Regions from separate parts of the Mus musculus genome. Here all the other regions are reported to be linked to region 3. The links are microRNA targets in miRTarBase. Many come from high-throughput screens and were not tested one by one. Region 3 holds a microRNA gene; each other region holds the end of a gene's coding sequence.

Region 1 (4,377 bases), not on the chromosome of region 3:
TGATAGTCTGTTGCGTGACACTGATATATGGAGGTACAAAACATATCCTCATTCCACATAGGGAGCCAATGTCAGACCAAAGCAATGATACCACCAAAGCCTGATAAACAGCTTAATTGAGGTTGCAGGATCCTGTATGGGTTACTTAGAAGAGCGTGATAGCTGAAAGGCAGCTGCATTACCAAGTCTACCCTAGCATGAAGGACATCTCATGAAGGCTAGAGCACTGGAGCATTCTATATGACTTGCAGGCAGTTCAATAGACATGCAGTCCTTACTGCTTATGTAGCCTTGAGGAGGGAGGGGCCTTATGAACCTGCCAAGTTTCAGGATTGCCTAAGACTTAGTGAGTTGTTTACTTCCTCGGTCTTAATAAGCTCCCCTCTCAGAATGAACTGCTTAAAGTCAGAGGATCAGTATACAACACAGGCTATATAGGAGGATCGCTGGAAGCTCGTGGCCAGCCAAGCACATGCAGCAGAAAAATCAATAGAGATCTTGAAGTGTTCTTGCTATCACCATGTGTTGGGAGAAGGTAGAGCACAGATTAGCTTGGTGTGCAGTGATATTTGTTAGAAGCCAATGATGGGCTCTCAGGCTGGTCATTCCCGAGTTGGGAATCATCTGAATATTATCACCCCCATTAAGCTCTAGGCCTCATTTCCTCACCTGTAATGTGGGAATGAGTAGCCATATTGAATGAGACAGTTCATTGCGTGGCTGAGAGTGAGGGAAGCTTTGGTCTTCAAGGGCAATGACAGCCTTTTACTTTCCACACAGGGAACCCAGTTTGGCCAGTGGGATACTGCCGGCTTTGAAAATGAAGAACAGAAGCTAAAATTCCTGAAGCTTATGGGTGGCTTTAAGCATCTGTCCCCGTCATTCAGCCGCCCTCCCAGCATGACTATCAGGTCCAACATGGCCCTGGACAAAAAGTCTTCAGAAATGCTCCAGCAGAGTCTGCAGCAGGACTATGACCGGGCCATGAGCTGGAAGTACAGCCACGGGGCTGGCCTGGGCTTTAACTCTGAGGCCCGAAAGGTCTTCTACATTGACCGGAATGCCTCCAAGTCTATCAAGTTGCAAGATTAAATATTATTGTCTTGTTCTTCAAACTGCATTTCTTGATCAGTTGCATCCGTCAAGTTGGCTTGAAATAGTCACCTGCAGTTATTGAGGACCAATAGGAATTGCTAAAGCCTCCTATTTTCTATGTTAAACATTCCACCTCCGGGTGACAGTATTTTAATAGTAGCTAGCAGTTGTTGGCACGTGGAGGGTCCTGACTATTTTCCTTGCATTGTTACACTAATTATGGAATGGGTGCTGTTCTCATCTCTATCAAGTTCAGGGATAAATAAAGTAATTAAACGGCCTAGGGTCACCTTCCGTTAAGTGCCATCAAGAGTACATCACCCAGAGTCACTCAATTATCAGTGCAGAAAGCAAGTGATATGCCATGACTTGCAAGTTTGTTTTCCTTCTCCCTTATCAGGAGGCAGGTGTGGTGCAGCAGGCAGACGTGGCCAGTACCTCTGAGCTGGCTTCTTTCCAGCCGTCCTCCTTCCATCTGACTGCTGTGCTTGGATTTGATGCTGCTGTATTGGCTGGATCTCAAGGCATTTTGGACAGTAGGTAATCCTGCGTATGGACCCATGACAGATTCTCAGCAGCATGTTTTGTGTTTGTGTTCACTAGACAGAAGACCTTGGACACTTGTGTGATGAAATCAAACATATAAGGGGTGGAGAAAAAGATACTTTGCTGCAGGCACCATACCCTCCCACCCCTCCCTCCCAAATCACAGCAATCTTCATGGAGCTCCTGATACAGAGACCCATGTGACATGATTTTCTCTCCCACCAGCTATTGGCAGTCTGGTATCAAGGTTCAGAGAAGGTTACTTTCCTGTTTTGGCCTGATTTCTCACAGGCAGAAACACTGGGTGGGGATGGAGGTGTTTGATGCTGCACTCAGCCAGGACATTCATTCATCCTTCCAGCACCGTCATCAGTGTTGATGCCTTCATGCTGCTAAGAAGATGAGAGACAATTCCCAGCATTCCAGAGATGGGAGAAAACCCTCTCTACAACTAAAGAAACTTCCGGCAGTCCCTCAGGGAACCTGTGATGGCGTCATTCAGCTTTGTAGTTTTTCCTGTATCAGCCCCCTTGGTAAGGAGATGCCCCTCAGGCCAGCCAGGGAGAGGGTGAGGTGTGCAGTACTGCCAAATGGGCAGCAGAGGTGTTGCTGTGCCCCCTACCTTGTTCCTGTCCTGTGGGCATAGGCCATATGTATGGCAAAGACCTGTTTACACCACTTTCCTGGAATGAACTTGGCTTCTCATCAATTCAGCCTCAAGATTCAGAAAAGACCACTTCCAGTCACGTCAATGGCAGAATTCTGCATTTGAGTCAACTTCCAGACAAATCTCCCTCGGCCTTGGTGAACTCTGGGAACCATCTGCATAACTCCAATAGCTTGTGTTCCCCACAAGTCACATTCCAGCCTAAGTGTCTCAGCTCATCAAAAACTTGCACATGGCAATCTTACGGGTGGTAGATGGTTTTCTATCTTATGTCACATATGCCTTGGAAGCTGTCATCAAAGTGTGAGAGCCAGATCTTTTTCTTAGCTGTTACACATACCTCAGTGCTGAAAGACTTGATTTTGTAGCTTGGTACCTCAGCGTTGACTTAGGTGCTCCACTAGCCCACCTTTCTCTAAGAATTGAAGTCTGTAGTCTATCTCCAAGGCACTGGAGGTAGGGTCAGTGATCTAACACAACCTTGAACTTGACTGATTCTCTCAGGCATTTCTTACCAGCTTGGTGGCACTTAAGCAATATCCTTGTCCAACAGTCACCAAAATCTCATGATTCTTAACACTTGTGCTTGAGCTGATTTCTGTGCTATATCTGCTTGGGCCCATGAGGCCCTGCCCTGAGGCTACATGTACAACCAGACTAACCTGTGAAAAGGCTCTCTCAGACACAGGTGTCCCTGCTCTTAGTACTACTTGGGTTATGGTAGGCAGGACACACACATACCCAGCAGAAGGGAAATTAAAGTCACTAATCACATGCTGCTATTATTATTGTTGTTGTTGTTTTTTTGAGACAGGGTTTCTTTGTGTAGCCCTGAAGACCATACCATGCTAGCCTTAAAAGTCACAGCGATTCACCTGTCTGCCTCCTGGAGTGCTAGGATTAAAGGTATACATCACTGCTGCCTGGCTTCCAGCCACCACTGGCTATCAGATAGATTTGAAATCAGATCCTTGATAACCTGAGCAGGTTCTTTTCTTCACAGTTCCCTAACTGATACGTAGCAGAAGATTTAGTGTGGAAGACACTTGGGAAGGAAAAGGCCACAAGCCAAGATCACAGGCAACGTACAGAAGCCATGCAGCATCTCTTTCCACCAGAGTACCCACAAAAGAACTTAGACATGGGGATACCTTGACCTAGCCCAGAGAAACCAGTGAGTTCTGACCAACAGCAGTCAAGACAGTAAAACCACAGGAAGTCACTGTGCTTGTAATTTCTTAAAGGAATAAGAACCAGGAATCACTCACAGATGGACATGAGGCATCCTGTTTTTCATTTCCTAAAAGTCTCTTTACATGTCCTTCTCAGGGGAAGTAGATGCTGTTTGTGGAGGCGGGCTTCAAAGACTGGACTGTCAGTAACACTTCTGCCCAGGTCAGCAGACTGTTGCAGGAGCCCCGTGGTATGTGTACCCAGTGTGAGGATAAGCCGAGGTTAACACAAGCAGTGGGAATTCCCCAGGCCAGTGTAAGCTGCTTATGCTGTTATCCTGGGCAGCCTTGAGGCAGGAGAGTAACGTACAAAGGATTATTTATGAATTTGCCAGTTATTTTTGAAAGAATTAGCATCACAGTGAAAGTGACATAAAATAATTTTAGTAGAAACAGTTTGGTGAAATAAAGGCCATTTGGGAGTATTTGAACAGCACCATAGTGCATTCTGGGTTCTGGCATGTTCACAGCAGGAGGAAAGGCATTTTTTAGCATCTGGTTTTTGTTTTTGAGACTGGGGCTCATATATCCCAGACCAGCTTCAAACATGTAACTGGGGACCTTGATCAGATCTTGATCCTCCTGTCTCTACCTCCTAACTACTGCCGTTCTAGGTCTGCACCTTGGCACTCTGTCTTATGTGGGGTCTTGTGTCTGCCAGGCAAGCATTCCACTGACTGAGCCATATCCTTCGCCTCATCTGCTCATTTTTGGTTTGGTTTTTGTTTTAAGAAATTGTATCAATTCCTTGGGCTGGAGGGTATTCTCATCAGATTGGCCCCAAATGTATATACAACAGTAACCCTGCTCTTTGTTGTTGTTGTTTTGTTTTGTTTG
Region 2 (4,251 bases), not on the chromosome of region 3:
TCTATGACAGCAGTGGCCTGAAGCCCGACCACATCCAGCGGCTGACATACAAGCTCTGCCACGTGTACTATAATTGGCCTGTGAGTGTCCTGCTATGGACCACCTACCCTGGTTAGCATGCTGTGGTAGGGACCCTGGGAGTCCCGCCCAACTCAGCCCAGTGACTGGCCCTCTTTCCCCACAGGGAGTCATCCGAGTCCCTGCACCTTGCCAGTATGCACACAAGCTGGCCTTCCTCGTGGGCCAGAGCATCCACAGAGAGCCAAACCTCTCCCTGTCCAACCGCCTCTACTACCTCTAACCAGCAGCGAGGGCCGGCATGCTGGTTTCCTTCAGAGCTCTGCCAATCCTTCAGTTCTATTTTTCATAGGATGAGGTTCTAGCGGGATGTTGGGGGTAGGGGTTGGGGGCCGCTGTTTTGTTTTGTTTTGTTTTTAGTTGTTGGTGTGTAGCGGCTATAGAGTTAACTAAGGCTTATGTTTGCTTTGTTTCTCATGGTGTGTTGTGACAGTTTGCTTGGCAGAGTGGTGGCAAGGGCCGTGGTACCACAGATAGACTTTCCTAAAGCAGCCGTGTTGGCAGGTTCTTGGAGGTGCTCCTGGGAGCACCTCCTATTGTACGCTGCTCTCTCTCTCTCTCTCTCTCTCTCTCTCTCTCTCTCTCTCTCTCTCTGCATGTTTGAATTTAAAAGAGGAAAGGACACAAGGCAAGAATGCCCAGAGCATCCTAGATGGGTGCTATATGGGACTCTGACACCTCAGGTTCTTAAAGATAAAAAGGCCAGAGGTACCTTTCTGTAATTCTTTTAAGAGTTAGGTCATAAGGAATGAAAAGAGTTACTTTTCTCCCTCCATGAAAGTGTTTTTTAAGACTGACAAGGCCGGTGGTGGAGTGAGTGTTGTTGTTTTGTTTCGCAATTTTCTTACCAAGTGAAATTACTGACCATAATTTTATTTAATAGTTTTTAGTTTTTGAAAGCCTGTGTTTTCTTTGCTTTTAAACTACAGGCGACCACTCTGGGATAGGATTCCACTCCCAAAAGTAATGTGTTGGGTGTGGTGGCACACGCCTGTGATCTCAGGACTCAGGAGGTGAAGCCAGGGGAACCCCAAGTTCCCGGTCAGCCTAGGCTACATAGTGAGACTTTGTCTTAACAAACAGAAAAAAAGAAAAAGAAAGAAAAAAAAAAGAAAGAAAAAAAAAGAAAGAAAAATGGAGCAGTATGAGTTATGGGTGCCAGTTTCTGCAGGAGACTTTGGGAGTAAGAGCTGCCTCTGTTCCTAAGAGGCTGCAAGGCTGCGGCTGGGGGGCCAGTTCAGGTGCCAGGTGAGGTACGGCCACATCTATTTGCCTGGCTCTTTGACAAAGAGAGCAGCTTAGAGTGGCTAGAGTGTGATGAGTTTTACACAATGGCGATGTGTGTGTGTGCCCCTGGCACAGCTCAATAAAGTTTCTGTCTCACTTTACTCTTGTGGGCGTCTCTGTGGGATCTGGCCTTATCAATGTGTTTTGTAAATGAAAAGCACGTTTGTTTCCTTGTTCTAAAAGCCAGCTCTGGGGGCTCATGGCATGCAGCCTTTAACCCATCCCATGTCTGACACCAGAGGGCAACAGGCATCATAGCCTCTCAGGCCCTGAGAAAGGAAGTACAGTTTTAGGGTTTCAAACTCAGACTTGGGTGCCTAAAGGGTCAGCCACAGCTTTATTCTCCAAGGATCAGCAAGGAGGCTGGAATCTCCTTGGAGCTACAGCATACCTCTGACCACCATTTCCAGAAACTTCATGCCTGTAACTGTGCTTGCTCAGGTTGTTCTAGAAGGGGTTTCTTCTTTCTCTCTCTGATGTCTCTACCCAGTGTCAGCTGCTGGGCATCCCTTGGCCACTGGCCATGACACAAGCCCTGAGCTCTGGGCTATACTAGGAATGTATGGAGGGACAGGCACAGCTCGTTTGTCCTCAGATATGGGTAGGTGCTAACTGGCCATGTGTATAAAGTCTAGCCTGTCTTGCCTTGCTATAGCTGGACTAGTCACATGAGGTACAAGGTAGTCAGCCTTAACTGGAGCGAATACCCCTTCTTCAGTTGGGTAGGAGAACCAACCTGGTGGTTTCCCTGGGACCCAAACGTCCAGGGTAGCAGAGCCACCCAGCCTCAGATCCATGGTGGAACCACTCAGATCCCAGAGTGGTTTCTGTGTGGAAGCCTAAGATCCCACCCTTCTGTCACCATAGTTGTCGGGGACAGACACTAGACCTTGGTAGCCCCGACAAGCTGAACTCAGTCACCCATCTCCCCAAAAGCCAAAGAACAGACACGTTACAGTGAATACCACAAAGGGGAGAATGACTCACCATGGCCACCCTGGAAAGGAAAGAGATCAGTGACCCAAAGCCACCCTTCTCTTCGGAGCTCCAGCCCAGTGAGGGTGTGGCTGAAGCCCCTTTCTTCTAGGCAAGGAAGAGCCTTGATTGTGAGAAATTCATATTTACTTTCAAGCAGGAGGTTGGCAGCGGGTATGTGTGTTAATCTTGTTCCTTATCACCTTTGATTTATGGCTGTAGTTTGTTTGTTGGGCGGAGGGCATTGTCAATGTTATCACCAAGACTCGAGTGAGCAGAATGGTGGTTCCTCCATGTGGACCCAAAGGGACTCAGACCCTCCATGGAACCCCTGGACCTGTCTGTGATGGTGTCAGGAGAGCTAAGGCAGGTGAGGAGCAACACTGTGTCTCTACTGCCCATTGGGTGCAGTGCAGTGTGGCCAAGCTGCCTCCCATGGGTGCCACCCCCAGTCTGTGGCCAGAATAAACCCTTCCTTTAGAGCATCGAGAAAAGTCACCAAGACAGAGAGACGTTTATCCTCGTGATCGTGACTGATTCTTTCCCCCTTGTGAGAGTTATGTCTACATGTGATAGGTAAGTTCTACATGAATAACATCGTGGCTGTGGCTTTAACTGCATCAGTGTGTGTCGGCCCATGAGGTGGTGGATTTGAACTGTTATTTTCATCTTGCCATAAATGGTCTGGTCTTAGCTCTTTGAACAGTTTTTACTGTTAAGGGTTGAACCTAAGACTATCCCCCAAAGGCTGGTGTACTCAGGGCTTGGCTGCCATCTGAGGAGCTCTCTTGGGAAGTGACCTGATGGGGGGAGGGGGATGGCAGCTTCATCAATCTGAGTGAGTTCATAGCTGAACAGGTTCTTAGGAGCTGTTGCCTGGCTGGATAAAGTGGCTCAGTGGGAATATGGCTTTGTGGGGGTGTCTATCCCCTGGTCCCTTGTGCTTTCTGAAGAGAAAGCACACACTGAAGAGAGCATCCTTTCTCTGCCTTGCCCTTGCATTTCCTCACATCCCAGGAAAAATATGGCCAGTAGAACTGAGCTTGCAGAGGGAAACCTCCATAGATCTATCTGGGAAGTCAGGCTGCATTAGCTGTATTGAGTCTGTGCGGTTCTTTAGTAATATCCTGGAAAAGATACCAGGGGTGCTGTTAAGAGGTTTGGTATGAATCCACACATTCAATAGATTCTCGTGGTCTCTGCTGTGTGTGCGTGTCTCCGGTAACACAGAGACCCCATACTGATTACTGCTGTCTCTTTTCCCATGAAGATTGCCACCAGGATTGTCATAGAAGTGACTCCCAGAACATGGCTCAAGAACATATTTTAATTGGTCCCAGAAATCCCAAGCCCACAGAGTTCTTTAGGGATGTGTAACAGAAAGAAATTCCATTTCCCTGCCATGATAAGAGTGTTAGGAATAAAGACACAAAAAGGCATAATGTTGTACAAAATAACAAAGTTTATTTCTAGAAAATATGTCACCCTAGCTGTACACATGCACACACCCGCACAGTACTTCACACACCGAGGAACGACCTTTTAATCAATCTACCACATACAATTATATTACAATGTACAATATAGTTTCTGAAGACGCACAGGGAAAGCTTTGCCATTCATTTACAAACCTTCCAGAAATTACAAAAGAAAGGCAGTCTGAAAAGTATGTATAAAGAAGTAAAAACAGTTTACAGTGGACAGGAATTACAAAGTTGTGGCCATCCCATCAGCCAGCGTCTGGGGAGGTTTGCTGTTCGAGGCTAATGATAAAGATGGGTGTGGGGTGTCTGAGAGATTTCAATTTAGGCTCCTTCTGGTCTGGCTAATGAAGCGTGTGGTGGCTTTGCTATGTGTGCTGTGGATGGTGTCTCGGGGCAAGGCATTTCAACAAATAATGAAAGGAACAGA
Region 3 (4,377 bases):
CTTAGTAACCTGTGGCTTGTACCACAGAGTTAGGCAATTGCCATGGCAACAAAACATCTAAGCTGTCTGTCCCTGGGCCTCCCTTCACCCCAACTGAGTAGGGCCTAGCCTGGCATAGAGAGGATAGAAGTCACCAAGAAGGTCCTGGTATCTGCAGCTTGCCTCTCTCAGCATATGAGCAGACAGGGAAGGAGGCTCCTGTGTTCATCTCTACCCTATGTCTCCTGGGTTCCCTCCATTTCCTTCTCCCCGGCTCAGTCTTGCTTCTTGGGAAAAGGTATTTTTCTTGGAAACAGTGAGACTTGGTTGATCCCTATCTCCCAAGGCCTAAGTCCTGTGGGCTTCAGGATGGCACTGTGTCACTATGTCGCTGTGTGAGTTGCTTATTGCTCCAAGCTCAGCCTTAGTAATTCAGAAGGCCTCATTCTTATTGACCTGTTTGTAGAGTCTGCAGCGCAGAGGCCTAGGCCTTGGGGGACTACGTGTTCATTTAATTCACTTCAACTTCATGGCAACTAGAGAGAAGCCTAGCTGCAGCCGAGCTCCCAACTTGCCGAGGGCCACCTCGCTGAGGAGTAGGAGTCAAGCCCGCTTCTGACTGAGGGGGTAGCTGGTGTCCAGAGCCTATTTTCCAACCCTGGCGGGCACTGAAAAGCCTTTTGAAGGGGGTCCAAGATGATACTTAGGCTGAGCTGAGTTTAGGCCATCAGAGACCTCGGTGCAGCAGAGCTGTGAGGGAGATAGCCGCTGGGGCTGAGGGCATAGGTTTGGGATGAGCTGGCTGGGAGCTATAGGAAGGCACATAGGAGCACACTTAACAAGCACTGAGGGCCACATGTGAGGTGTCTACTTGGAGGAGTGGCTCGTGGCTCCTAGCTGCCCTTGCAGGGGCTCTGGTACACTCAGGAGTCAAGTGGTTCTTCATGTGAGCAGAAGCTGAGGGGTGACTGGGGCTGATGGAGGTCTGAGCTACCCTCGAATGAGGATTTGGGGCAATGTTCACCGAAACGGTCAAGTCAGAGAGGCTTTCTCTGGGGCCTCTGACAGTGTAAGCAAGAGGCACCCTCCCTCGTACTTGTGGGATCTTCAGCTCTTTTGCAACTCAGCCTGTAGCTAGGGATGGGTCTTTGTAGTCTGCTGGACAGATAAGACAGACATCCACCCCAAGTGAAGATACAGAGCATCCTCTCTCCTTGCAGCTGAGAGCTGGACTGAGTGCTACACAGTTTTGAAGGAACAACTCTAGAGTGTCCTTGAAGATGATGGGGCCCGCTTACAGTAGCTTCTCTCGCAGCACCTCTAAAGTCACCAGCTCACCTTCTTGGCAGCCTGGAGAGCTACGTGTACCTCCTGGCATTTCTCTGTTTTCTGAGTGATGGGAAAGGGGCTTATATGGCCAACACTTGGAGCCACATCTCTAGCCGCCAAGTCAGATGTATTGGGAACAACTGCACAGAGGGGAGAGGACTCCGCAAAGGGCTCACACTAAAACTGTGCTCTTCCTCTGGGGGGAGGACTTCAGAGGGAGTACAAAGTACCTCAGCCCCTCACAGCTTGGTGGTGATGCACCCCTTTTCTGAGAGCCACTTAGCGCAGGATTCCTGTGACCCTTCTGTGCTGAGCAGCTCTTGGGCCTGACACCATCCCCAGCTGTCCCAGCCTTGTTACCTATGGGTGCCTGGGTTGGTTGTCCATGTTGATGGTTGGGATCAAGGGTGGGTGGGTGTCCATCAGATGTGTCTTTCTGTGATGGGCCTCACTGTTCTTCTGTTTGCTTCTGCCTCCCACTGTTGCTCTACTGCACCCGTGGGAGCATGATGGCTCTGCTCCGTCTCTCTTCTCTGCTCAACCAAAGAGTTTCAGAAAAGAGAAAGGAAGCCTTTTCTGAAGTCTCTAGACTTGATTTCTTGTCCTCAGTGCTTGCCCTGGCTGAGGGCCCCGTACAAGTGAACTCTGGGAAGATGATTTGTCTAGGGTCATGGACAAAGGCCTTAGAAGATGACTTCCAAGCCTATTTCGTTAACGACCTGCATTCATTAGAAAAGGACCTGTGTTTTCAAAAACATGGCTCTTGTGTCTCACATGGTCAGACAGTAGCCAAAAGATTGCCCATAAATATGTCTTCTGATGGCTGTTTGGCTACTAGGACAGAACCATTAAGTTGAAGAGCTTAAAACTATGACCTTAGCGGCTGTGTGTCTGTTTTGTTTATGTCTTAACATTCCCTACCCCATCTCTCTGTTCTAAGCACCTCTGAGCTCTCAGCACAGTCCTGCCTTTGAAGCCTTGTGTGATGGGGAGCCTCAAGGATTGGAGCCTGCACTTCTTCAGCTGCTTCTGCTGTGAGCACAACATTCAGTCCTGAGGAAAAGGTTTGCTAAGTAGGAGAACTTGGGGGTTCTTCCTCCTCAGGTATGGATTGATTTTTCACCTCACAGAGACCCAGTCAGCACCCATGGGGTGGGGCATTTGAGTTGGGAGGTGGGTCTTGCTGGAGCAGAGGCCCAGCAAGGTGGATCCTTCTTGGAGCGTGGGAATCTACAGGGCTGCTTAGAAATGGTTTGATTGGTTCATAATGGCACCTTGATAGAACAAGAGGGTTTACTGTACAGGATACTTGCCACACCATGGCCCTCTTTGTGCTACTACATGCAAGTGAGTGAGTCCATTGGATGGAGTGGTCATAGACAGATCTGGCCATGAGATGAGTGTCTCTGGACCCCCACTAACTAGCTCCTGCCCAATTGACTGCTTCCTGAGCACCACAGCTATTTGAGGTAGGCTGGGACGTTCCTGCCGTGCTTGAAAGAGACACCAAGAGGCATAAGAGGCCCAGGCCTTTGGCAGAGGAGGGCTGTTCTTCCCTTGAGTTTTATGACTGGGAGGAACTAGCCTTCTCTCAGCTTAGGAGTGGGCCAACAGCTTCCTTCCGATCTCCAGGAGAATGTTGCTGGTTGACACACGGAACTCATCCTCTAAGTTCCCCCACCCATCAAGGTAGCTGGTGGAGTCAGAGATAGATGTTTCTAAAAGCCATGGAGAACTTTGAGGTCTTGTCATAATGCCCTGAGCCTACTACTAAGACTGCCACCTTCCCATTGTCGATGCAGTGGCTTCTGAGCGCACGTAGCTGGGAAGCGGGTGAGCGGGCCAAGATCCAGGTTAGTGGGCATTCGAGACTACAGAAAGAGACCCTCCTAGGGTCTTGGGGTTGGGGAGACAGAGGCAGGGCCCCTAAGAGGGGATCTCCATCTGTGTGCACACAGAACAGCCTATGTGGAAGGTGACAAGAGGGCCTTTCTGGAGGGCCCCCCCTCAATCCTGTTGTGCTCGCTTCAGAGGGTTGGGTGGAGGCTCTCCTGAAGGTGTCCGCAGAGCGTCGCATGGTAAGTAGTCCCTTGGGGCTCTAGAGAATGCTTGCTGTCTTTGGCTTGATCCCAGTGGCAGCCTCTGCTAGACTAGTCCTGCCCCCCAGTTAGTGCTCATGGGGTACCAGAGACCTGACCCCACCCTGTCTGCTCTAGGCTAATAGTGCCCTGCTTCCCTGGGCTTGTACCACCTTGTGTAGTATCTCCCTACTCTTCTGTATCCTTGGCTGGGAAACTTGCTTCCTAGCACCAGACCTTCCTTGATGTGGTTGTTTGCTTTCCTTTCACTTATCTTTTCTTTCCTACAGGAGTGGGATGGACATCAGTCAGATCCACACCGGTCTTCATGGCAGCCCCCCTTTTTTATTTATTTATTTATTTATTTTTGAGACAAGATCTCACTGAATTATCCATACTGGCCTTAAAACTTGGAATCCTTATGCCTTAGACTCCAGCATTTCTGGCATAAACTGCTGTGTCCAGTCTAGAAGGCATTTTGGTGAACCACCCCTGTAAGACTGAGCTGGGGGGGGAGGGTGTCAGGCACCCAGTTTTGAGTTACTCACACCCAGCCTCTCCCAAGTGTGACACAGTATCTGCCTAATAAATTCACGAAGAAAGATTGTTTGGTGTTGTTCTCATCTGTGCTCTGCGCTCTACCCAGCTCTGCCTGGTGTGCCCATCACTCATCCCACTTCACCAGCTTGCTTCTAGCACACACCTGGCTTGATCTTGCTTCTTAGTGTCTCTTCCCATTAATTAGATTTAACTCAACTGCAAGAGGGCTGGAGCACCTTTCATTTAGAGTACAGTAAACTCTGAATAGAGGGAGGGCGGGAGGGAGGGAGGGAGGGATGGGGGGTAGGAGGGGGAACAGATGAGTGTGTGGATAGATGCGCGGGTAGGTGGGTGGATGGATGGATAGAGAGACATTGAAGAAGATTCAAACCAATAGTGCAGGTTAAGCACTAAACAGGGAGTGAAGGCTGTGAAGCCCAAATGGGAGGCT
Region 4 (4,181 bases), not on the chromosome of region 3:
GTGGTTTGAATAAGATGGCCCCCTTAGGCTCATGATTGAATGCTTTGTCATCAGGGAATGGCATTGAGAAGGATTCAGAGGTATGGCCATGTTGGAGGAAGTAGGGCTGGGCTTTAAGGTTTCAAAAGCCTAAGCCAGACCCAGTGGCTTTCTGTCTGCTGCCTGTGGTCATAGATGTAGAACTCTCAGCTACCTCTCCAACACCATGTCTGCCTGCATGCCACCATGCTGAAAATGAACTAAACTAAAACTGTAAGCCAGACCCGATTAAATGCTTTCTCTTAGAAGAGTTGCTGTGGTCATGGTATCTCTACACAACAATAGAACACTAAGAGATGGTGGAATCAGATTTCCCGACGTTTAGAATTGTTGTTTGCTCACAGTCAACTATTGGATGGATCACAGGGCCCCCAATGGAGGAGCTAGAGAAAGTACCCAAGGAGCTAAAGGGATCTGCAACCCTATAGGTAGAACAACATTATGAACTAACCAGTACCCCGGAGCTCTTGTCTCTAGCTGCATACGTATCAAAAGATGGCCTAGTCGGCCATCACTGGAAAGAGAGGCCCACTGGACAGGCAAACTTTATATGCCCCAGTACAGGGGAACGCCAGGGCCAAAAAATGGGAATGGGTGGGTAGGGGAGGTGGGGGTGTGGGAGGCTTTTGGAATAGCATTGGAAATGTAATTGAGGAAAATATGTAATAAAAAAAATTAAAAAAAAAAGAATTGTTGTTTGTCAAGAACTGTTGGTTGCTACATAGACTTCTTGTGTAGACCATGCCTGCCAGGAACTCAAGGAGATCCTCCAGTCTTTGCCCTGCAAGTACTGGATTAGAGCATGCCTTTCAAGGACCACATAATTCTTGATTGATCCCAGTGCTAAGATTCAGGAAACCTCAGTGGTCCAGGAAATAGTAATGGTGTTCATAGATTACTACTATCACAAGGTGTAACTGAGTTAAGCTCAGGCAAGCCTGGTGTTGATCAAACAATTGATCAAGAATATATGGAAAAAACAGATTATAAAAATAGTAGAAATATTAAATGTGGCAGAGATAAAATATATTATATAGGTAAATGGTCACTGACTCTGGGTTGGTCTTGGGGCTTTAATCTGAGCATTAGAAAGGATGAGGCAAGTGGGTCTCCATGAGTTTGAGGTCATCTCAGTTCTAGGCTAGCCAGGACTACTATAGTGAGATCTGACTCAAAATCAAACAAACAAAATACAAAAGTGGAAGTAGTCAGGAATGAAGAGCCAGCACATCCCTGCCTCATGTTAAAGTGTCCCTGTCCTGAATCAGGCTGGGTCCCTGGGTCAGGCTGACAAATATAAAAGAGAACATCCAAGGTTATTAAAAACACTGCGCTCTAGAGAACAGCTAGAGTGCAGAGCATTTCCAAAAGAGGTAACTTGTTCATCATGATATAAAAATGGCAGCAATGGGAACCAGAGGTCAGAAAGTTGTCCATGTACAGAAGAACCCTGTGCCTGGAAATCTATGGAAACTATGGAAATCTATAGAAAATTATGAAAACTCCAGGACTGCCTACTCCAGCAGGGCTTCCCTCCTCATTTATGGGTGTTGTAAGTGCCTGGTCTAATCCTGCTAGCTTGCTTGCTTCCCCAATCAGGATGTTCCACATGCTCAGTTTGAAGATGCTTTTTTTTTGTTTTTTGTTTTTGTTTTTTTGAGATAGGGTTTCTCTGTATAGCCCCTGGCTGTTCTGGAACTCACTCTGTAGACCAGGCTGGCCTTGAACTCAGAAATCCGTCTGCCTCTGCCTCCCAAGTGCTGGGATTAAAGGCGTGCGCCACCACTACTCGGCTTGAAGATGCTTTACACTCTACTACCTGCTCCTTGCTCTTGTACTTAATACATGCTCAATCCATTCAGCCACTCAAAATCAAATGTATAGCTGTGATAGATTGGTTCATGTACAGAAATACTTTTATGTGTGGTATATGTGCATAAGCTTGTGTGTGGTGGACAAATCTTTATTGCTTATTTTTTGATACAAGATCTTTAGAGCCTTTCCAACTGAACCTAGATCTCATGACTTGGTAGATTGTCTTCCCCGTGCGTCCTCCTCCTGTGAGCTCCTCCCCATGAGTCCTCCTCCTATGAGCTCCATGTGTCCTCCTCCAGTACTCCTACCACAGTTGCCCAGCTTTATATGTGTGTTGGGAACTCATCTTATGTCCTCATGATTGTACAGCAAACTCTAAGGAACCACTTTCCTACCTTGCAAGAGGTCTCATGGTTGAGAGGAAATCTTGTTCTCTTGCACCCAACCCCATCAACAACCACACTGGTCTCCAACTCTGGACGGCTCACCCCTCCCACCTCAGACACCCATGCAACTGCAGGTGCACGTCACTGCACTCAGCGCCTCAAGACACTTCAGTTACACAGACAGAATTACTCACTGAGAGCACACTGAAAATAAGTTTGGGGTCAATTTAAAATTTCACTCATGCATATGGAGAACAAAAAAGAAAACACACATATACACACAAACTATATACAAATTCTTTTATTTCTCAAAAAGTTTTAAAACATACTACAATTTAAAATTTAAACAACTGGATTGCATAGTGCCTGATAATCCACTTCAACATAATAAAAGATAAACTGATCACTTTCTAAGTTTATACCGTTGTTTTGCTTGACAGGGTCTTTTCTTAGCCTAAACTGGTCTCAAACTCAATTCTACAGTTGAAAGTGGCATTAAACTGATGGGCCCTCCACCTCACAAGGCCTGGGACTTATGCCACCATGTCTGCCCAAATCAATTTATTTTCTAAGCGTAACAGTATAGAAACTGAGGGAGATGCAAGCAATTGGCAATGGTGAAAAGTGCATATTTAAAGAGGTTTGGCCCAAAGGTTTTTTGTTTTTTTAAAGTAAATTAAATTACAATTGAAAATACTCCATACCTATGGGCCTTTACAGTAAATAGAAATTTTTTAAAAATTTCCTGTGCTAGGGAGTATGGGAAGCCAATAAACGCCATTACAAGATGGTACTGGTTTCAATAAGCTGACGCCCATGAATATGGGTAAACAACCAATGTGCGCATGTGCAGTAGAGTTTTTTTTTTTTTTGCAGAGTCACTGCCTGGCCCAAGGCATGTAAATGAGGTACTGAAAGCATAACCAATCAGGTGTAGACACACCTATCCTAGGCCTATATAAGCAGCACTGGTTTTTTGGGCTCGGGGTCTTTCGCTTTCGCTATCAAGCTCTCCCAATAAACGTGTGCAAAAGAATCCTGTTGTGGCGTCATTCTTGCTGGCGAGTCGGGCGTCTACAAGGGAGCAAAACCAAAACCTTGGACATACTAGGTATGTGTTCTACCATTGATCTACGGCAGAGAGTACTTTAAAACAAAGTAGATTTGATCTGATCAAACTGACAGGTTTTCGTTTTATTTAACTTTGAATAATACTGCAGCCACTGTGTTTTCTGTGTATCAAAGGTATCAACTTGAGAAGAAATTATTTGCTTCATTTGTGCCAAACAAGGGTAGTTTCTCTTCTGTTAAAAGGATATGAACTTCTTGAAATTCAGTGTTCATTTGTCACATGATTTCAAAATAATGGACAAACAGCTCCAGCTCACTCTCGGCTTGCAGACTCTTCCTAGAACTCCATGTCCTCCGGGCAGTAGTCATAGATCCACTTAAAGACGGAGTCTTCCGATTGCTCTATGGTTTCAAAAAGTTTTTTGAAGTCGTGAGGATACATTCTAGCAGCTGTGTCTCCAGGGTTTTTTCTTATCTGCCTCAGGATATTAATAGGATCAACCGTACTCAGTGAACTGCAGAGGAAAACCAAAGAGACACACTTTTACAACTGTCAGCTACAGCTGAGAAAGCTGCCTCCTATGTCCAAGTAAAATGGCTAACACATATAACTGAATTCAGTTGACAGTTTATATATGACATGTGTATTCTCCACTCTGTACAGAGACGACTCTGAACCGACCCTCCTACCTTAATCTCCCAGTACTGGGATACAGGGATGAATGCCTCACTCAGTCTGGATAGGAAATGTGTACATAAGTGTGTTATGGCTATAACCTCAGCACCCAGGAGACCGGGACAGGTACTCTTAAAAATTCACAGCTAGCCTGCAATGAAAATCACCAATTGAAATTCTAACAAGGTATAATT
Region 5 (4,377 bases), not on the chromosome of region 3:
GCTGGGAATTGAACTCAGGACCTCTGGAAGAGCAGTTAGTGCTCTTAACCACTGAGCCATCTCTCCAGCCCAATAAGTCTCTCTTGTATGGCTATTTCTGGAGAGACATGAACAAACATTTACTCCTGCCATATAGGGAACTGATTGACAGTCCAAAGTAAGGGTGTCACTAAAGTCCAATAAAATGTTTTCCTTTCTAGGAGTTGCTGTGGTCATGGTGTTCCTTCACAGCAATAAAACTCCAAGACACTGTTTGAATGAGCTTGGTGTCTTAGTTAAGTTTTACTGCCAGCTTGACACAACCTGGGGTTGCCTGTGTAAAGGGAACCTCACTGAAGACTTGCCTTCATCAGGTTGGCCTGTGGCTATGTCTGTGAGAGAATGTCTTGACTGATGTGAGTGGATGAACCCACTGTAGGTGTCACCATACTTAGGCAGGTGACCCTGGGGTCTGTAAGGAAGCGACCTGAGCATGAGCAAAGAGCTAGCATGCAGACAGTGCTTCTCCATGGTTTCTGTATTCAAGTTCCTGTCCTGACTCCCCTCAATTAGGAATTATGATGTAGCAGTGTAAGCTAAATAAACTCCTTGCTCCTTTAAACTGATTTGGTCCGAGTGCTTTATTACAGCAGCATAAAGAAAACTACAGCACTTGGGGAAGAAGGGACCTGGTGTATGTGGTCAGTTTCAGGAATATCCTGAGACTTGTGAGTTGTTTACATCCTGATTCTTAAGCAGTGTAACTTGTTTCAGTTTGGAAAAATTATTGCACAGCCGTCTGAACCAGAGAAAGCTTAGAATAAACAACAAAACACAGTATTTTTTAACATCAAGAGATTTTATGTATAGTTACACAGAAAATACATTTGGAAGATCTCATGAAATTTCTCCTTCATTGTTTTAAGACTAAAGAATTAAATAGAAACTCTCAAAGTGTACTTTCCTTTTCTTCTTTTTTTTTTTGTTGTTTTTGTTTTTTCTTTTATTTTGTTAGATGCCACGAAATAGGTAATAGGCAATGCCTTAACCGTATGTGTGTTGTTAGGCCCAAGGCCTCTTCCATCCTTGTCAAGGGGGAGTGCTAACCTCTCCTTTCATACAACACCAAAGTGTACTTTCAAAAAGAAATTTTTGCCAGGCAATGGTGGCGCACGCCTTTAATCCCAACGCTCGGGAGGCAGAGGCAGGTGGATTTCTGAGTTCGAGGCCAGCCTGGTCTACAAAGTGAGTTCCAGGACAGCCAGGGCTACACAGAGAAACCCTGTCTCAAAAAACCAAAAAAAAAAAAAAAAGAAAGAAAGAAAAAATTTAAAAGACCTTCTGAAGAGGCTCTCTGGTCCAGTAAATTAACCAAAACTTTTTTGAACTTTTCAGACAGACAGATGTATACATTGTTCAAGGAGGGTTTGGGGTGGAGCTCAGTAACAGGACAGCTTCCTAGAGTCCCCCTGTGAGGAAATCCAGATGTCGCTCAATTGATAGAGCATGTGCCTAGCATGCATGAAGCCCTGAGGTTGATCACCAGCACCCCATAAACTAACGTGTGGTGATACAGACTATAATCCCAGCATTCAGGGGATGATGAAGGTCACCCCCTTCATAGTGAGTTCAAAACCATCCTGGGCTCTATGAGACCCTATCTCAAAAAAAAAAAAAAAAAAAAAAATCAAAAAAGAAAACCAAGACCAAAGCCAGGCCCTAGGGATCTGTGGGGGAGAGTTGGCTGGACACAGTATGCCATAGGCGTTAAAGTTCTGCAAACCTGGAGTAAGGTGGGGATCTACTCAATGTACAGCATATACCTGTATGATTTTTAAAAAAAAATAAAATAAAATAGTTTAAAGATCCTCGAAAATAACAAAAAAGACACCAGCAACACAAACAGGCCCACTGAGCAGTTGAAAACAATCAGAGTGTGGACAGAGGAAATGCAGTACTTTCTAAGACAGAGGAGGGGAGAAAGAGACAAGACGGAGGAGTTTGGGGCTGGTGAGATGGCTCCGCCAGTAAAGGTGCTTACAACCAAGCCTGACACCCTGAGTTCGATCCCAAGGACCCATATGATGGAAAGAGTTGTCCTCTAACCATCGTCCCACCCCACCCCTACTCCCTCCATGCTTTCCGACACAGGCAATAAATAATTAAATGTAATACCAAAATATAAAAGATAGAGTGAGTTCCTCTCTCACTCTTAGGGGACTTAGGATTTATCTGGGCATTTGTGTTGAAGAGATTGCAAGATAGGAAGAACCCTTGTTTCTGGGAGGGATGCAAGTCAGGGAAGGCTTCTTGGAAGAGATACCCCAGAGCAAGGCCTTTGTGTTTGCTCTGTCTGCTTGGAATAGTTCCCCAGATTTAAGCATGGATGCTCAGGTCCATTAGTCAGGTTTTGGCTCAGTCATTACCCGTTGTTCAGGGTGCTAGCCTACCTGACCTAGGCTGTCCAACCCTGTGTAGTGTGTGTGTGTGTGTGTGTGTGTGTGTGTGTGTGTGTGTGTCCCTAAGGTTAAGACTGGATGTCTTCATCTGCTACTCTCCACCTGGATCTCACTATGTAGATCAGGCTAGCCTGGCTCGACCTCCCAAATCTCCATCTGGACCTCACTACGTAGATCAGGCTAGCCTGATCTCACTATGTAGATCAGGCTAGCCTGGCTCTACCTCCCAAATGCTGTAATTAAAGTTATCACCACCGTGCCTGGCTCCACTCTATTTCTTGAGACAGGGGTTTGTTGATTGGGCTAGACCACTTGTCCAGAGAACCCCTTGGATCCACCTATTCCCTCAGTGCTGGGGTTAGAGGTGAATCACCATACACAGCTCTGTGAAGGTGGTGGGGCTCAAACTCAGGTCCTGGTTTGTACAGCAGGCACTCGAGCAGTCTCCCCAGCACCCTCTTTGGGTTCTATGGAACATCTCAACCTTGACATAGTCCATATCCCGTCAAGTGTTTCCTATACGTCTTCTTGTGTAAACTGCTAACTCCTGGGGAAGGAATTGGCTCCAGCCACTGTCAGCCCGGGACCTTTATATCAGGGTTTTGAACGAGCAAGTGCACAATGAATATTGAATGAAGAACAAAAGCCATCTCCGAGCTCCTGCATCCAGCTATGCTTGAAGCTGCACAGTTGTGCGATGGCCTAGGAAATCCAAAGCCCTCTTGCCTACACCGGCATCTCAGACACCATTTCGTGGCTGGTGGATATGGATACCTTGGTCACCGCACTTTCCTCATCCTGTGGATCCCTCAGGGCCCAGTGGCATGCAGCCTGGAGTGACTTGCAGAGTTGTTTTCTTCCGAAATACAAAAACATTATGGGATTGAGAGCACTGTGAGCCAGGGCCAGGCCATTAAACAGAGGCTCCGCCTCCAGGACCCGGGCGAGGAGCAAGGAGTGCGGAGGAGCCGCTGCAATGATTACCCGCAGGACGTGATAAGGGGTCCAGCAAATGAAAAACCCCACCACGACAGCTGTGCCCAGGGGCCAATGGCGGCGGGCCATCTGCCGTTGGAGGATGCCGTGACAACCGGCCATGAACACCAATGGCCCCAGGAAGCCAAAGAGGAATCGAACAGTGGTGATGGCAACCTCGGCGCTGACCGATCCCCCATAGTCTATGCCACACACAAGTCGGGGAGGATAGTGCTCCTGAAGCAGCCTACGGTAGACAGCAGAAGGCACAGTCAGCAAGAGGCCCAGCATCCAGGAGGAGGCCTGGACCACACGCACCCCAAATGTTCGATGATCTGCACCCTTCCAGGAGGGCCTGAAAGCCAGTAGGAAGAGGTCTCCGCTGAGGCCGGTCAGGAGCAGCACACTGGCATACATAGACAGAATGGTGATGGAGGACAACAGCCAGCAGCCTGCCGCCCCGTATGGCCAGTGGCCCTTTTGGGCGATGGGCACAGCCAGGAAGGGCAGAGACACACAACAAAGCAAGTCGGCCATGGTCAGGTGCAGGAACCAAGAGGCCCCAAGCCTGTGGCGGGACTCTTTCCAGGTCACCCACGCCACCAGGGTGTTGCCTGGCACACCCACCAGGAAGACGGCTGCATACAGCACAAGCAGGACTATCAGGTAGACATCACTAGTGAAGCAGGTGCCAGCTGGGCAGTCTACGGGCACGTCCGGAAGGTCACTGTAGTGTTCATGGTCATACTCATAGTCATAATACTCGCTGGTGGTGTGGTTCATCATTCTGGCCCCCAGACACCTGCAGGGGACAGGAGGGAAAGTCAACGGAAAACTCCAGCTTTGCTGTCCCCGGGCAAGGCGGGTCCAGCGGCTCCATGCTAGAGACACCAACACTGTGGCGCAGGGTGCCTGCACTCCAGGGTACCAGCATTCTGTGCCGGTTATTGCCAACTAAGGGATG
Region 6 (4,377 bases), not on the chromosome of region 3:
TTGGATTGCGGATCTGAGTATCCATGGGAAAGAACTTGAGGAACCTGGCAGCCTGCAGGTGGCCGGCCCAGCATCTATTCCCGACCCTATGCCCGCCGGCCCGCCGTCCTGTTCCCTCTGCCTTCATCCTACCTGGCTGTAGGGGTCTTGAGCTGGTAGATCTCCCGGTCCCTGGTGGCTGCTGGAGGAGGAGGAGAGAGAAGGGAGGAGGGAGCGTTCGGTTCCGCCCCTTCCTCCCTTCCGGGTCTGGGGGGGGGGGTAGGGGGGGGATGAAGTCAGCGTGTAATCTTATCTAGCTGAGCCAAGCCCTGCCCTCCCGCCCAGTGTCCTGGCGCCACGTGGAACTAGGCAGGACTTGTACTTTGTGAGGCCAGAGCTGGGGAAAGGAAGAAGGAACCCTCCGCCCACAGAGAACTTTAAGCTGTTAGCCAAAGAGCTCAGCTAGTGACATACTCTGGGGATTCGCAAAGCACCATGTGGCTAAGTGCACTGGGAACCTGATGACTCACACTTGTCAGTCCAGCATCACACAGAAAACTAAAGCAGAGAGATTGCCCAGAGTTCCAAGGAAGCCTGACCCACAGAGTGAGACCTCCATCTCAAAAATAAGTTCATACAAGATAAGTAAACAGAAGTGCTGGAGGCCACAAGGTTTTATACAACTGTTAGGTTGTAAATATTTTTAATTCTTTACTTGATTTTACTTGGTGTTGTGTGTATGTATGTGCATGCAGGCATGTATGAATGTAGGTCAAAGAACCGCAAGTACCATTACTTGCTGAGCCGTCACAGAGACACAACACAAAGATTTGTCGGAGATTTCTGGGTATTTACTTTTGAGAAACGGTCTGTGTATGCATACTGGGACTTGGGGCTATCCTCCTAGCTCAGCTAGATGGTGAGATTACAGGCATACTTTAAAGCTTTATTTATTTATTTTACGTATGAGTACACTCTGGCTCTCTTCAGATACACCAGAAGAGGGCATCAGATCTCATTACAGTCGGTTGTGAGCCACATCTGATGGATGTGGTTGCTAGGGGTTGAACTCGGGGACCTCTGGAAGAGTAGCCAGTGCTCTTAGCCACTGAGCCATCTCTCCAGCCCTATGGCATGTTTTAAAACTGATAAAACTAAATTGTGAAAACAGAAAAGCAGCAGTTCCCAGAGGACTATGACTGGAAGATGAGGTGCACAAAGGAGAACCACCCCACCCTCTTGCTGGGGAGTCTAGGCAGGAGTATCTGCCTCATGCCACTGAACTCAATCTCTCCCAGACTCTGGACACTCATCTCCCCAAAGCAGGTAGCAGACGGACTTCTCCACATTTTCATGCTTACATATGCACACGTATTTGTGTAAGTTGGAGGTTGACATCAAGTGTTTGCTCTTGGTCACATCTTTAGGAGACAGTTTCCTGAGTCCAGCCATCTCAGAAACAAGTTCTATCTTGCTGGCAGGGTCAAGACTGAGTTCATGTTCCCAGGCCCCAGAATACAACTCCTATCCTGCTTCTTAGATCTTTCATGTTTGTCTGTTAGCCAGTGAAGGCTGTAAGGAAGGAAGATGCTGTTCTCCAGTTATCCAAACTAAAGCACACAAGTCGTTAGTGTGTCCCTGCCTTGATTTAACTGACTACTGCGGCTCACCCACTCCTTTGGTCCTTCACCACACTAGATTCCAGGTCAGAGTCCAGGAGGGGACTAGGCTGTAAAAGCTGACTCAAGGACCCTGAAACCAGGTGACCCAGATAAGACCTAGTCACCAGTGTTAAGTCCTTGTTTAACCCTTTGTGTCAAGATATGATTGGTCAGTACCCAGGTCCCCTTCGCTTTGTGTTCCCATCCTATAAAAAGCGTCGTGCAGTCTCTCATCAGGGTTCAGATCCCCAACTGGCCACCTCCCTGCCAGTGCAGAAAATAAAGCTTTTATTTTTTAAGCTTCTGTCTCTGAAGTAAGTTTTCTCAGTTTCTACCGCAAACCAAACAACTCCAAGCACTTTACCACAGCAGGCAGCTCTCCTGCCCCGAGTTTTGCTGTTTTGAAACATAGTCTCAAAGTAGCCCAGGTTAGTTTCAAACTTACTAGGTAGTCAAGGATGACCCTGAACTCCAGATCTTCTTGTCCCCACCTTCCCTGAGATCAAGGGGAACAGACTGTGGGCATATTTGGCAGGCTCAGCTTGTCACACTGACCCTTCTCCATACATCACAGAGACGGAGGGAAAATAGGCAGCAGGCCCTTCCTGCTGTCCCCACAGGGTCACAAGTGATCACGTCCAACATTCAAAGTGGGAAGACTCGCACTGTGCATAGAGTAGAGACAGAAGGAAGAAGGTCTCTAGGGATGTCAGGGCAGCTCAGCTCCTAGGAAGGCAACACACATATACACCATCCACTTGGCCTCTGATGCATATAAAATTTATTAAGGCAATACTGAGCCCCAGGATTTGAGGAACAGTGTACTCGGCCCTCACTTTCTCATCTGAAACAATTGCAACATCCCAGCTGTCTATCCTGTCACAGTTGCTGGGTTCTTGGGCCAGGTATCAGGGTCTGTTAGAAAAGCTCTTGCTAGCCGGCCTTTAATCCCAGCACTCAGGAGGCAGAGGCAGGTGGATTTCTGAGTTCAAGGCCAGCCTGGTCTACAAAGTGAGTTCCAGGACAGCCAGGGGCTATACAGAGAAACCCTGTCTCAGGAAAAAAAAAAAAAAAACAAACAAGAAAAGCTCTTGCTATTGTGGGCCATGATGTAGAAAAGAAACCCGGAGTGAAAAATCATTATGCCTTTTTTTACTTCAAGACAAGGTCTAATGTAGCTTAGACTATCACTGAATTTGTGATGTGGCAGCCGGGCTTTGAACCTGTGACCCTCTTGCCTCTATACCACAGTGCTGACACAGGATGACAGACTAGTGCTATCACTATTCATTACCCTCATTCCTCATTTTTTTTTTTTTTTTTTTTTTAGGAAAAAAACATTTTTTTTTTCTAGAATGTTCTGGATCTTTTTACCCCTGGAACATTCTAGAAAAAAAATTGCTTTAAAAGACTGATGGGAATAGGTTAAACACATGTCTCATTCAGACTCAGTAGGGGAGGACCTGTTGTGCAATTGGACTGTTGGGAAAAGCAGTCAAGCCAGATAGATGTTGGCCCTGAACCTTCTCCCTACTTCCCTTCAGGGGTTTTCTCTGTGATTCCAGGAGCGAAGGGGCCCACCAGCCACATGGCTGGAGTGTTCTGGGCCACGTACTCCACAGTGTTGTCTAGGGCCTCCCGGGCTCTGGCTATGCGCTCCCGAGTTTGGGCAAGAACGCCGGCTGAGAGGTCCTGGAAGGAGTGAATGCCGGAGAAGGTGGCCTGAAGGTCGTTCACCTGGCTGCGGGCCTGCTGTGCCTGCTCCCTGACGTGGCTGGGCAAGCCCTGGATGCTGGCCCCCAGGGCCACACACATGCTCTGCAGCTGCTGGGTGATGTCCCTGAACATGCTGAGTGCCCGGGCCTCCACCTGCTGGAAGGGGGAGATTGGGGTGGGGTCAGGGTATTGAGGGCCAGTAGGGTGCAGAGCCCTGCTTGGAGGACAGGAATTTGGCTCCCTGAGTTTGAAACTAGAAGACAGACTCCCATAACCTTTTCAGAATAGTTAAGGTTTACAGAGAGACACTGGAAGATGCCTGGAATCTAGACTTATCAGAGATGAAAGCCACTGGGGCTGGGCAGGGAAATCAAAAGCCAAACAGCAAAAGTTAAAAACAAACCCCCCACCAAAATCAAAAAATTATAAACCCCAAATCAAACCACAATATGGGCACTATGAGGCCAGATATGGTACCGGGCTCACAGCTGTTATCTTAAAGCCAAGCCAACTCGCGAGGCAGAGGCAGGCGGATTTCTGAGTTCGAGGCCAGCCTGGTCTACAAAGTGAGTTCTAGGACAGCCAGGGATATACAGAGAAACCCTGTCTCGAAAAACCAAAAAAAAAAAAAAAAAAAAAAAGCCAAGCCAAAACCACCACCTTACCCCAGTAATACTAATAAAAATGCAAAAATTAAAAACCAAAGCCAAAACAAAATAGAATTCTGTCATGGTTTCTGTGGTTGCCCTGGGGACAGGAAGCATGAGTTATGCTGAACAGGGCATGGACACTCATATGGGGATCCCGGGGGCCCCAGCAGGTACCTCTGGCTTAGCTGGGTCCTTTTCAGCATCCTGTGGGGTCTTCTGGTTCCAGCTGAGCCACATCTGGTGCAGCTTCTCCTGCCCCTCCCCCAGCCTCTGGTCCACACCCTGTTTCACGGATTCCATCTACAGCACAGAGAAAGGGGCCCTATTAGAGGGAGAACATATCCCAGACACTGGGTTCCAGCCGGGACAAT
Region 7 (4,377 bases), not on the chromosome of region 3:
CACACGGCAGGGAAAATCAGTAGCCGCCTCTTGAGAAACAGAGATGTGTAAAGTTTCTGACTTACCTGATTTTTAAAATGAAGAGCAGGCTACCAGGAACCTTTCAGATGTGAAATTAAGCACTTTCTGTTTGGCTTCGCATTGTGACCTATTAATTAGGTGAAAGGTTCTGGGCAGACGCAGGATGATGGAAAGAAGCAAAAGCAGGGCGGTGGGATGGGAACTGGGGCCAGGAGCCAATGGAGAGGAGAGGAGCCAGCAGGGGCTGCTGAGTGGACAGGCTCCACGGGCTGTGAGGACCCAGCGGCTGAGCAGCAAGCCTGGCCTTTTCTGGGGCTTTTACAATGCCGCCCGCGCCTTTCCACAGACCTCAGCTGCTCACTGCTGGAGCACACCAGTGCAGACTAGGAGTTCTGATCGGGCAGTGGGCCGGGTACGCCCACGGCTTCCTTCCCTTACTTGCTGTGATGAAAGGGTCACTTCCTCTGGGCGCAGCTTGTTCATCTAACATGCATTTAATGCCATGAAGTTATTGGAAACCTGGAAGACTTCTGGCTTGCTGTAACTTTTGAATGCGCAGGGACATAAGCTTCCTGTGACAGGTTAGGATGATGTTACACTACCTGGTTTGTAAATACCGGTCAACAGTAGACTTGGCTTCCAAAGGCCCCTCTTTTAGCATTTGGATGAGGAAACAGAATTTTTCATAGAACGCATTCCATTATCCTCATTATCAAGATGTCTCTCTCACACCAGTGTCTGAACTCTAAGAACTTTTTTGTGTGTTTTGGGGGGTGGGGGAGTCTCACTTGTAATACTGCTAAAGTATAGATGAACGTCAACAGCCGTGGAGCTTGGATGGAAAACCTGGGGGTGCCGGAGCACTGTCTCCGAGCAGCAGTTCCTTGACTAACGACCCTGTCTGCTGTGCTGCAGGTGGAATAATACCCCCATGGATGAAGCACTACACTTTGGACACCATGATGTTTTTAAAATCCTTCAGGAATACCAAGTTCAGTACACACCTCAAGGGGATTCTGATGATGGAAAGGGAAACCAGACTGTCCACAAGAATCTCGACGGGTTGCTATAATGGTCTGCACCCCAAGACTTCCATTACTTACCTAGTCATTGTGGAACATGACTATGGAGAGCATTGTATATTTCTATCTGGTAGTAATGTGTATTTACAACATCTGTCACTGCAGTGTTACCGGAGCTTCCTTCATTGTGCGCACACGACAAATCTGAGTTCTTTGGGAAAAAAATAGAAATGAAGCAGCCTCCCTTCATAATGTGAGCAATAGTTACCTCGTGCATTGTACAATGTGGTGTAAAAGAGTAGTTACCAATGCCAGCTGAACTGTGTGGTCTTCATGGTTTGCGTTCTGTACATTTTCAAGCCCTGGTGATGATACGCTCATATGCACTTAGGAGTGAGCTTTGTTGTACAGTCTGTCCACGGGGTCGATGCTGTTATTAGGTGAAAATAGTGTGATCTTTAAGACTTTAAATACAGATTTAGTTTTGAGTGTTTGAGAGACCACTACACTTGTATGGTTGAGTGTTTAAAATGTCTATCACCCTCACTTCAGAGTGTGACTCTTTAAATATTAAAATAGATACTAACTGTTCATAGAACAGGCCGATTCTGATTAGATTTTATCAGGGAATCTGTTAAGATATGTTTGGTGACCAAAACGTATGTGTGAATATAGTTCTAGCACTTTTAAATTTTTCCTTTCCATACAACGCTTGGGCCAGCCTCTCTGTGCTGCGTGGCTGTCGGTCCCCCTCAGCTGGGAAAGAGAGCACTGGCTCACTGTGCAGTTTTCATGTTTCCTCAGCAAGCCATCAAGCCTCACATCTCTACCATCAGAGATAGAGCTTGGCCATTTATCTAAGGAAGATGAGCCAAAATTATGACATCTAAAATAATCGTCAGTCTTAAGAGTAAAGACAGCGAAACTGCACACTTATAAGTTCTTTTCAGCTTCTACAATAAAGAAAAGTTCAGAAATGCTTTCAGTTACCAAAGTTATAACGATATATTTAGGAAAAGCTACAAATAACACTTACTTTGAATCCTGCTGTCAAATGTCTGCATCAAGATAGCACCCCTTTGTGGGAGGCCCTGAGTATCTTCTCTTCCTCTACTGCCTAACTGTTGGTGGGCTGTATCATTCAATAAGATCACTTCATTTTCAACTTAGACCCACCGTTTCTTTTTTGTTGTTTTGTTTTGTTTGGTTTGGTTTGGTTGGGTTGGGTTGTTGTTTTTGGTTTTTTCGAGACAGGGTTTCTCTGTGTAGCCCTGGCTGTCCTGGAACTCACTTTGTAGACCAGGCTGGCCTTGAACTCAGAAATCCGCCTGCCTCTGCCTCCCGAGTGCTGGGATTAAAGGTGCAAACTACCACGCCTGGCAGACCCACCATTTCTTTGCTTTGGAAAGGTAATTTATGATTAACTTAGATAATAGGTAAAAGCGACCTTACAAAAAACATAATTATCTAGGAGTCCCACATACTGGACCTACCCTATTATACCTCCAAGAGATAAAGGGTATGTTAGTGAGGACTTTTGCACACAAGTGCATGCACACTTGGCATACACACACACACACACACACACACACACACACACACACACACACGGACTTCTTGGAAACTGCTTTATGAAGAAACTGCTTTATGAAATAAGCAAAATTCTCAAGTGCACAGATACTAGCAGTTATGACAGTAATACAGCGTCTTCTGTGACCCTCACTACCTGCACTGCTTGCATCCCTGCTTTATGCCTGGTGGCACATTATTCACCCGGTAACCTCCAGCTGCTTTGATCCTGTTTCAGTCAAAGTCAGCTTCAGCCACCCCCTCCATTCCCTAGCCAGCTCCACCCTTGATGAAACTGTGGCTAATGTTCCTTCACTAGGACAGGCACCATGAGTGTGTTTCTAAGTTCCAGAGTCTGTGGGGAGGATGGTGGGTGGGCAGCCAGCCCTGTTGCTATGTTGCTTCTTCCACACCCCCTCAAGACAGGTGCATAGGTGGCACTGGGAACATCCTACGCAGGGACAACCTCCAAAATTAATGGGTGAACATGGTTTTTTTGGAATCAACTGAGATAATGCTATTTCAATAGCGGCTGGCTTTTTGTGATTCAGTAACTTAAATATTGCCAGTGACTGAGGATCCCCTCCAGTCATGGTTCTGTATATTCTTTGAGACAGGTGTTTTCATCTTCTCTCAGCTCAGTGCTGTTTTGTACAGTCTCTGTGGCTTGGTTGAGTATGCTCTTTCCTGTGCCAGGTCTTGCTCTGGCTGTTCGCTACTGGCTGATAATAACAAGGACCCTGTGTGTGTGTGAATGAGCCGCTAACTGCTACCATCTGTAAACTCCAAAGATCTGTTTGTTTTGGCTTTACAATCTTAGCTAATTTTTCTGTATCCTGGAACCATTACATGATCATGTTGCTTTGAAGATCTTTTTATGCCACTGTTTCTGCTGTCTTGGTTCTGACACCCCTGTCTGGTGATATGCTATACCCCAGTGCTGCCTACACGTGCTTTAGCTGTAGAGCTGGGTATACTGTTGATCCAGCTGTCCGTCAGGGACTTGATAACCTGATGTTTGATGTAGATCCCTGCTGGGGAGTCCACAACTATGAATGTATTTACTTCCAACATTTCCCAAAATGAAAACTATAAATTGCAAGTATTCTGGAATTGGGAAATACTTATTTTAAATGAGATCAGGTAGTGTTGCTTTTTACAGCATAATAAATATGTGTATTGAAAACAAACTATGAGAAAAAGTGTTTTCTTTTTTAATAACTAAGGTTTTCTCTGGGCTGTTGGGTTGGAAGTCTGTAGCTGGTTTACATCCAGCCTGCTGTGAGGCAGGCACATAGAATTGGGTGGGAAGTTTGGACCACAAGACCAAGATGAGAACTGAAGACCTAGCTGTGAAGGTTAGAAGTGGACAGGCTAGCTCAGTCCTCTAGAAGCTCAGACCATGCTCTTACACCATGCCATGGAAAGTATCCTTGAATGAAGACATGTTTCCACAGAGCACTGAAATCTACCTCGAGAGCTGGTCCAATCCGATCACACTGGGATCTGAGTTGCACTGGCTGGAGCTCCCCCCGAATTCTTCACATGCTTTCAATCAATACCCAAAAGCCCTGTTCTTGGCGAAACATTTCCTCTTGGGTGTAAAGTTAGCTTTTAACTCCACAGCAGTTATGTGCACGCCATACCAACCCCATCTTCATCTTATAGAAGTTATATTCCACAAAGCTGCTTGGTTTTAGGAGCTCTGTCAGGCCATCTCTATTACTGATATTTAGAATTTGAAATGGCATGTGGAATTCTAACC

The links. Region 3 holds the annotated microRNA mmu-miR-298-5p (GGCAGAGGAGGGCUGUUCUUCCC, at 2,843-2,865, shown strand). A microRNA usually pairs through its seed, bases 2 to 8, with sites in the 3' UTR of a target mRNA and lowers its output. Matches are read on the target gene's strand: a 7mer-m8 pairs with bases 2 to 8, a 7mer-A1 pairs with bases 2 to 7 and ends in A, and an 8mer does both.
Region 1: the mRNA of Knop1 is a reported target of mmu-miR-298-5p. The part of its 3' UTR that is shown has no 7-base or 8-base seed match.
Region 2: the mRNA of Piwil1 is a reported target of mmu-miR-298-5p. Seed matches in the 3' UTR shown: 7mer-A1 at 669-675.
Region 4: miRTarBase lists Tfb2m as a target of mmu-miR-298-5p. Seed matches in the 3' UTR shown: 7mer-A1 at 3,112-3,118.
Region 5: miRTarBase lists C5ar2 as a target of mmu-miR-298-5p. Seed matches in the 3' UTR shown: 7mer-m8 at 1,178-1,184.
Region 6: the mRNA of Plin3 is a reported target of mmu-miR-298-5p. Seed matches in the 3' UTR shown: 7mer-m8 at 2,605-2,611.
Region 7: the mRNA of Gls is a reported target of mmu-miR-298-5p. Seed matches in the 3' UTR shown: 7mer-m8 at 2,375-2,381.

Annotation. Positions count from the first base shown.
Region 1 is chr7:118,842,498-118,846,874 of GRCm38, reverse strand. It overlaps Knop1 (lysine rich nucleolar protein 1), which reads left to right. Exons shown (of 5, transcript NM_023197.3): 5 at 781-4,377. The coding sequence ends at 1,092. Among named protein-coding and RNA genes, the nearest start is that of Iqck, 11 kb to the left of the region's middle.
Region 2 is chr5:128,754,009-128,758,259 of GRCm38, forward strand. It overlaps Piwil1 (piwi-like RNA-mediated gene silencing 1), which reads left to right. Exons shown (of 22, transcript NM_021311.3): 21 at 1-80; 22 at 185-1,466. The coding sequence ends at 301. Rimbp2 (RIMS binding protein 2) reads right to left here. Exons shown (of 21, transcript NM_001378900.1): 21 at 3,783-4,251. Among named protein-coding and RNA genes, the nearest start is that of Gm42875, 14 kb to the right of the region's middle.
Region 3 is chr2:174,266,041-174,270,417 of GRCm38, reverse strand. It overlaps Mir298 (microRNA 298), which reads left to right and starts at 2,833; the gene lies at 2,833-2,914. It overlaps Mir296 (microRNA 296), which reads left to right and starts at 3,293; the gene lies at 3,293-3,371.
Region 4 is chr1:179,525,529-179,529,709 of GRCm38, forward strand. Tfb2m (transcription factor B2, mitochondrial) reads right to left here. Exons shown (of 8, transcript NM_008249.5): 8 at 2,526-3,826. The coding sequence ends at 3,649. Among named protein-coding and RNA genes, the nearest start is that of Smyd3, 9.6 kb to the left of the region's middle.
Region 5 is chr7:16,233,760-16,238,136 of GRCm38, forward strand. It overlaps C5ar2 (complement component 5a receptor 2), which reads right to left. Exons shown (of 2, transcript NM_176912.5): 2 at 828-4,215. The coding sequence starts at 4,199. The coding sequence ends at 3,165. LOC115486844 (a small nuclear RNA gene) reads right to left here and starts at 1,105; the gene lies at 979-1,105.
Region 6 is chr17:56,276,562-56,280,938 of GRCm38, forward strand. Plin3 (perilipin 3) reads right to left here. Exons shown (of 8, transcript NM_025836.3): 7 at 4,181-4,306; 8 at 2,401-3,512. The coding sequence ends at 3,171. Ticam1 (toll-like receptor adaptor molecule 1) reads right to left here and starts at 206. Exons shown (of 2, transcript NM_174989.5): 1 at 133-206.
Region 7 is chr1:52,162,874-52,167,250 of GRCm38, reverse strand. It overlaps Gls (glutaminase), which reads left to right. Exons shown (of 18, transcript NM_001081081.2): 18 at 937-3,802. The coding sequence ends at 1,093. Among named protein-coding and RNA genes, the nearest start is that of Stat1, 46 kb to the right of the region's middle.